Macaca mulatta: one gene and its partner. The protein of the gene in region 2 purifies or fractionates together with the protein of the main gene of each other region. This does not show direct contact. Links are inferred from orthologs where the notes say so. Each region holds a gene or a part of one and is shown on either strand. Other genes may lie near its edges. The genes, in order: GLG1 and OSBPL8.

What was found.
Region 1: the proteins of OSBPL8 (region 2) and GLG1 purify together in Homo sapiens (co-immunoprecipitation; 3 studies listed by BioGRID and IntAct, with this or other methods). This does not show direct contact. The link is inferred for Macaca mulatta from reciprocal best matches to the Homo sapiens genes OSBPL8 and GLG1.

The regions. Positions count from the first base shown.
Region 1 is NC_133425.1:69,910,449-69,914,759, forward strand, and holds the start of GLG1 (Golgi apparatus protein 1), read right to left. Parts: upstream 3,079-4,311; 5' UTR 3,059-3,078; coding exon 2,588-3,058; intron 1-2,587. UniProt on the Homo sapiens protein: Binds fibroblast growth factor and E-selectin (cell-adhesion lectin on endothelial cells mediating the binding of neutrophils).
Region 2 is NC_133416.1:83,542,539-83,546,356, forward strand, and holds part of OSBPL8 (oxysterol-binding protein-related protein 8), read right to left. Parts: intron 2,014-3,818; coding exon 1,929-2,013; intron 329-1,928; coding exon 157-328; intron 1-156. UniProt on the Homo sapiens protein: Lipid transporter involved in lipid countertransport between the endoplasmic reticulum and the plasma membrane: specifically exchanges phosphatidylserine with phosphatidylinositol 4-phosphate (PI4P), delivering phosphatidylserine to the plasma membrane in exchange for PI4P, which is degraded by the SAC1/SACM1L phosphatase in the endoplasmic reticulum.

The DNA of each region.
Region 1 (4,311 bases), on a different chromosome or scaffold from region 2:
CAGAATGAAATTTCCTTTCACTGTCTTTAAAGAAAAAGAAAATAGGCCAGGCACGGTGGCTCACGCCTGTAATCCTAGAACTTTGGGAGGCCGAGGAGGGCGGATCACGAGGTCAGGAGATCGAGACCATCCTGGCTAACACGGTGAAACCCCGTCTCTACTAAAAATACAAAAAATTAGCCAGGCGTGGTGGTGGGTGCCTGTAGTCCCAGCTACACGGGAGGCTGAGGCAGGAGAATGGCATGAACCCGGGAAGTGGACCTTGCAGTGAGCCGAGATCGTGCCACTGCACTCCAGCCCGGGCGTCTCAAAAAAAAAGAAAAAAAAAAAAAGAAAAGAAAATAAGGTGGGCACAGCGGCTCAAACCTGTAATCTCAGCACTTTGGGAGGCCGAGATGGGCAGATAACAAGGTCACGAGATCAAGACCATCCTGGCCAAAATGGTGAAACCCTGTCTCTACTAAAAATACAAAAATTAGTTGGGCGTGGTGGCACGCAACTGTAGTCCCAGGTACTCAGGAGGCTGAGGCAGGACAACTGCTTAAAGCCGGGAGGTGAAGGTGGCAGTGAGCCGAGATCACGCCACTGCACTCCAGCCTGGCAACAGAGTGAGACTCCGTATCAAAAAAAAAAAGAAAAGGAAAAAGAAAAGAAGTTTAAAAATAACTCCACCTCCTGAAGAATATACACAGGTGTTCACAGTACTCTTCTTTCAGTATTTCTGTATGTAAAAACTGGAGGAAAAAACATTAAATTGGGAATTTGGCTCCTCCCCCTCCCCCTAAACCCCCAAAACTCCCATTTCCAATTTACATGACACCTTTCCTCCTCTGGAGCATAAAAGTGCCTCCTTTAAGTGGAGGTTTCCAAATGTCCGGAATACACATGAATAAGGATATATACACTCCTTGCGTAGGCACTTTTTGCCACTTTCCCTAATAATGTGCTGTTTCTGGCCGGGCACAGTGGCTCACGCCTGTAATCCCAGCACTTTGGGAGGCCAAGGCAGGCGGATCACAAGGTCAGGAGATCAAGACCATCCTGGCTAACTCGGTGAAACCCCGTCTCTACTAAAAATACAAAAAATTAGCTGGGCGTGGTGGCGGGCACCTGTAGTCCCAGCTACTCGGGAGGCTGAGGCAGGAGAACGGCGTGAACCCGGGAGGCGAAGCTTGCAGTGAGCCGAGAACGCTCCACTGCACTCCAGCCCGGGCGACAAAGCCAGACTCCGTCTCAAAATAAATAAATAAATAAATAAATAAAGTGCTGTTTCTACCACAAACCACTAATAATGTGTTTGGTCACCAGTATTAGGATCGTAGTTTGATGAAACGACATCTATTATGTGTCCTCAAAGAGCAAAAAGAAAATTCCAAAAAGTTTGACACCCCGACTTAGGAATCTTAGCTGTATCTATCAGAGGACTATCCTTCTAGCCTTCAAGCTGAAGATGAGAAGTCAGGTAAGGCCTCGCATTTCCAGTGGTTCTGGAAACTTCCTTTCTTTCTGTCTCCTGCTTATGTATGTCTTTTCCTCTATCTGAATTGCTTTTGTATAGAATACTAGAGCATGAGATGAACCAAGAGTAGCAAATTTCTACAAGTCAGTGGTCTTCCTATAACTTGAACGCCGTAAACAAATCTGATACTACAATTTAAAAAAAAAAAAAAACAGCTAAAAACAGTATCAAGTAGCAGCTTTATTCTATGTGTCAACCTTTAGGGCTAATTCTAATACTTACACCTCTGGAAAAAGTTTCTACTGTCAGATTTGCTCCCAAACTTTGAGAATTGTCAAATATGCACTTACAGTCTGCAGCATTAAACCTAGATTATAAATTATCAATGTCACTTAACTGAATCACACCAAGCAATGGCAAATCTAGATTTCATTAACAGATACTGTTAAAATCACATTGAGACCTCAGAAAAGCAAGACCCCATAACCCAGCCACAAACACAGCTTCAAATGCTTCCCCAACTTTTCAAGCTTTGGGTCGCCAAGTCACTCGGAGTTAACAGCCTAAACATGGGGTTCAATACAAACTGACCAAAGGAAGTGAAGAAAACAAAGCATACATTATTTCAGCAAGAAGATGGATTTGCGAATTACATCTACTGTAATAAACAGCAGATCAAACCCCTACTGCTAATAAACAGATCGTTCTTTACAGCCTAAGTACGCCAGGCATTTTTTTATGTTTAAATGGCTTGCCACAAATTGTCCTAGTCAAAACTGATCGCAAAATCCTAAACTGGTGTTCGGCGAGGAGACACTCGGTATAGAGGATCACACAAAAGACAGGAGCGAACAGACACGCTCTGGGCCTCCGCGGATTGCGGCCAGGAGTCCAGGTCTTCGTCCCAGACCCCGGCAACAGGGAGGGAAATAAGGGCGAGGGAATAGAAGTGGGGGTGGGATCCTTTTCCCTGAATGCGCCTGGGAATGAGGAGCAAAGAGGGAAGGAGCGAGTGCAGCACAGAGGAAGCGAGAAAAGCAGCCGACCGGCGTCAGCGTCTTCCAAGGCTGGCAACACCCTCGGGCCCGCACCAGGCCTGGCCCTCCCGGCTTCGTCCCACCTCCTCACCTCCCTCACATCCTGCAGGCACTCGAGCACCGCCAGGTTGTTGCTCCAGGTGTGCTTGGGGCACACGCGGGTCACGTCCTCCCTGCAGGACTCTTCCTCCGCCAGCTTCCAGCCCCCACCAGCCCCCGCTCCTCCTCGCCGAGCCGGAGGCCCACCCGCCGGGAAAGGCAACTGTGGCGGCTGAGGCTGCTGTTGCTGTTGCTGTTGCTGCTGCTGTTGCTGCTGCTGCTGCTGCTGCTGCTGCTGCTGCTGCTGGAGCTGCGATGACTGAGGCAGCTGGGGCAGCTGCTGACCTGCCGGGCCGCCGCCTCCGGCCTGCCCTACGAAGGACACAAAGTTGGCGCCGGGGCCCTGGCCCTGGCTATGGACGCCCTGGCCGGGGAGTTTCTCGGCCCCGGCCGCGGCTAGCAGCAGCAGCTGCAGCGCCGCCGACAAGCGGAACATCCTCCGTACACGTCCACACGCCGCCATCTTGGGTCCGCGGCGAGCTCGACGCACTCGCCGGCGCCGCGTATTTAAATAAGGGGGCGGAGACGCCGGGCGTGGCAGCGTGGCCCTGCCGAGGCCCGCCCCTGCCGGCGCCGACCCGCAAGTCCAGAGTGGGGCGAAGGAAGAGGCTACACTGAAAACCGTACACGCCCTGGACCCGCGGCTGGGAGAGCGGCGCTTCTTACCTGGGTGGTTGGTGGGGTTTCTTAAAAAGCCCGGGCAAGGCGGCCTAGTCTAATTCCCTTTCTTGTCACAGAAAAAAAATCAAGGGAATTGGGGTTGCCACAACCAAAATGGCCGGTAGAATATGTCGCCGGTTCAATGACTTGGAAAACAAAAACTTTATATGTAGAGGTGAACTTTGCACAACCAGGTGTGTTACGGAATCGGAAAGCTTCTCCTTGCATCGCTCCCTCCTTCCTTCCACCTGCCTCAGAAGTCTTTCCTAGCCAAAGAGAGAGACAGCATTGAATAGGGTTAAGAGCATAGGTCTTGGGGTAAGAAAAAAATTAAGGTTATAATCCTTGCTCTGATAGAGTGGGCAAGAGCTCAAATGTAAAGTACCATTGACAAGATTCAAAATAATAATAAGGGAAGTGCCTGGCCCACAACATGGAACTCCAAAAGTCATAGCCAGTATTGTTAAACTGTGAAGCCCTTTGTGCGTAAATCCTGATTTTAAGCCAACATTTAGATTCATGTTTAAAGGATGAACAAATAATAATAAAACACACTTTGAGGACTCGGGTTAAGTCTGTGTCGGTAACTGTTCTCATTGACCTGCATGCAATATCGCAGGCACCCCACGCTAGCATCCCCTCCCTGTCCTTAGGAGAAAGGATATGTTCCCAAAGCCTCTTCACATCCGCTGTGTAATCTGAGCCATGCATCAGGCCTGCGTTAGGTTCTCATTTAGCTGAAGAATGGCATAGAGATGTTAACAGTTCTGTGCGGAGGGATTAAATGAGCGGCCCAAGAAGAACTCTGCCATCCTGTAGACAGCCAGGCTAGCCACCAGAATCCCTGGGGCTTCCCACCACCCTGGTGCACTTTTATCCCACTTTGTCCATACACATGTTGGGGAATCAGGGCAGTTTGGGATGTGTAATCTTCCCTGGTCATTGTGTCCAAAAATGCAGCTTCTGCTGTCCTGACCCACAAATGATCAGTCAAGACCAGATTAGACATAACTAGAACCTGAGAAGTCAGGAGCTCAGGGAACCTAAAAGGAGCCC
Region 2 (3,818 bases):
CAGCTAAACAAATTTTAAGCCAGTCTTAGGCCATATAACAGGAAGATATGCAAATTTCAGTCCTAGATACACTACTAAAATTCTAGGCCTGCCAACTAATTTTGTGAACAGCACAGTCTCTGAAACATTACCAAATCAGTGGCAATATCTACTTACTGGAAGTTGTCACCACTGTGGAGATTGTTAGCACGTAGTAAGCCATAGAAAGTTACATGTGTGCTATCTGATGAAACGCTTAGGTCATGTTCCTTTCCTTCTCTGATCATTGTACGTTTAAGAAGACTAGAACATTTCAAAGCCAGCTCCAAAGCGTCCATCCAGCACCTTCCTAAATGAACACAGATTCATAAGCAGTATAATTTTTAAAACTATGAAACTAGCATGCATCTTAACTTACCCTGTTACCACTATTTCTTTGAGAAACATGCACTAGAAAAGTTAATCTGAACATAACATCTGCTAGAACTTTTTAATGTAATCTTTCAGTTTTCCAAATGCTTTTCACATACTAAGCAGGTACAAACCACTGATAAATGAATAGTATACAGCATGCATTAGAAAGTATACCCAATCTAAAATAAACATACTTTATTTTTCAAATCTTAGGACATTAACAAGCAGTATAATTTGAAGGTATCAAGCAAGGTACATAAAATATACTGGAGGATTTATGGTTCTACTATAAACAAACTATCTGAAGTAACTGTTTTTGATAATAGAAGGTCTATCCTTAAGATTAACATCCATTCTACCTGTATGTATGAAACTTTTTAAGTCAGGAAAATGCCTATATAATGCTACTATTAACTGCCATATTAGTTAAGAGAAACATTAATAGTTTTATTTTTTAAATAAAAATTTAAAAGTGAATTAGCAGAAAACTTTTCACTTATATTTGGGGCTCTTAATTTTCATATATATCACTTCAAGATTTGCTGGGAGTATCAGTCAAGTAAAGCATTTTCATATTGAAAGCTCATACCTATATTTTAATTAAAAAAAAATCATCTGAGGCCAGGTGTGGTGGCTCACGCCTGTAATCCCAGCACTTTGGGAGGCCAAGGCAAGCGGATCATGAGGTCGAGTGTGGGACCATCCTGACCAACATGGTGAAACCCTGCCTCTACTAAAAATACAAAAATTAGCTGGGCATGGTGGCGTGTGCCTGTAGTCCCAGCTACTCAGGAGGCTGAGAGAGGAGAATGGCTTGTACCAGGGAGTCGGAGGTTGCAGTGAGCTGAGATCGTGCCACTGCACTCCAGCCTGGCAACAGAGCGAGACTCCATCTCAAACACAAAAACAAACAAACAAACAAAAAAACATCAGATAAAAGTAAACTTTGGAAGGTTACAAGATTCCCTACACCAACCTTGTCTAAACTACGAAACATGAAAGCATGAAAGTGAGGACAAAATCTGTTATTAAGATTTGAAAGCTACCTTGATATCACTTAAGTTTTTCTCTCCCCATATTTGCTTCATGAATTAAGTATTAAAGGAGGAATAAAAAAGGTTGTACTCGAATGTCTTATGTAAAAAAAACAAAACAAAACAAAACAGTATATGTCTCATAAATGGTAACATTTAGTAGTAAAATATAAAAAGTATTAAATGTATCTTTAAAATAAAACATGAGTTACCATAAAGATCACTAACAAGTTAAAAGGTGTTAATATGTCCATGGAGGATGAAGAAGAAAACTCTGAACTGCTAACTCATTGATAAATCACACAATGCTTCCTTTCTATCAGATTTCCCTATTTGTCTATTAAGTTACTCATATATTTAGCATTCAAAGCAATTTACGATTACCATGCTTCTGCTGCAAATGCCATACTAAAAATATATTTCCCCAGAATAATACAAAGCGGCATAAAAAAACTCTTAAAAATGAAGACCAAAATCCAATCCATCAAAAACTATATTTACCATCTGACTCTGAAGTAGCTCGGATGATCAAATAACTGCTAGGTAAGGGCTGAGTAATGGATCCAACCGCTTCACCTTTTGGACCCTTAATAACAAAATAAACAAAATAAATGGTAGAGAGTAAGTATTATGAGATCTCAACTTTATACTATCCAATATTATCTGTAATAATCTAAATCAGGTATGGATTATAATCTAAAAGCAAATAAGCTTTAATTTCATCATTCTTGATAATGCAAATGTTAAGTATTAAGAAAAATTTTCTAACAAATATATCTCCTTAGCAGAAAACTGAACAAATTAATTATCACTTAAATATTACCTCTATATATTGCTTACATACTAAAAAGAACCTGCAATTTACCATATTAAACCAAATTTTAACTTAACAATGTCCATCCCATGGATACAACTAATGAGATAAGAAATACTAAATTTCTAGAAGGCTAAAGAAAGCATCTGGAAATAGAATTATAATTCAAAAGAAAAAGAGAAATGAATTTTAACTGGGTCTAAGGAAAAATAAATCTCTACTTTAAAACCAATGACATATACCTGTTTTTAAACACCAACTATATACGCTGATTTTATTTTTCCAGAAACATGAAAGAAAAAGACATTCTGTTGTTGTTGTTGGCTAGGGTTGTTTTATAAGTATACAATACCAACACTAATTAATATCACCAATGCTAAACTTAGGTAGACACAATAGAAAGGAAACTAAGTATTGAATTTAAAATATAATTTTGATACAAAAGCTTAATTTTTAAGTTGTTTTCAAAGGGTTCTTTAAAGTTATCAGGTCAAAAAACAAAACAGATTTCCAAAACGCATAAAATGTCAGAAAGTAAAGATGTAGATTCAAAATGAAAACAGAAAAAAAATTAATATGGCTTTAACAAATACCGTAATATTCTGCATTTTCAAATAGCTTTACAATTTATGGGCCAGTTCCTAAAACCAGTATACAGTGGGACATGTAATCAGACCGCCTGGGTTTCAATCATGGCTCCATGCTAGAAAAACAGAGTTCAATCTCTTTATGTGTATAATGGGAAGAAACTGTATCTTCCTTATAGGTATGAGAATTAAATAAATGATTTCATGTAAAATACTAAAGTACCTGACATGAACTCATAGCTGTTACTATTTCCTAATCATAAACACTGGCTTCCAAAATATTTAAACAATATCCTAAGTAGGTTTTGCTTGTGGGAAGTATTTATATAATTATACAGATTTCTCTCTTCTTCCAATAGTAAGAATTAAATATTATAAATTTGACATTAAAATCATTAATGGCTTAAAATTTATTTTAATGCTTGCAATTCCTAAGAGTAGTAGAATACTATATTTATATACATACACACATATGTGTGTATATATAGTATTTTTGTATATGTGTATATGTATACATATATTTTGTTGTTGTTGTTTAAAAAGGTTTTGAAAGTCATTTTCTCCACTTGAGAATCGCTTAATATATAAATGTCAGAGGTTCGGGGGTTTAAATTCTTTCCCCTGAGGGAAGCACCTAACCTCAGAATGGAACTAACTCGGTAATCCCAAATTTATTCTTGCTGTGACTCCAGGCTACTGAAATAAAGATTAAAAAGTACAAGTTTTTTCCTAGGTGTATGTATATTGCATTATTAAGCAATACCCTCCCCGCCCCACAAAAAGGATTAAGCTACTTTTTGTTAACCGTAATCTCGATGAGGTGGTTTTCCCTAAAGGAGAAATTCTAACTTCTTTATTCTACAATAACTGGCCTTCTCAGAAACTAAAGCAATGATCATTTTGTAAAAACTTAAACTAGGCTAGGCATGGTGGCTCACATCTGTAATCCCAGCACTTTGGGAGGCTGAGGCAGGAGGGCCCAGGAAATCA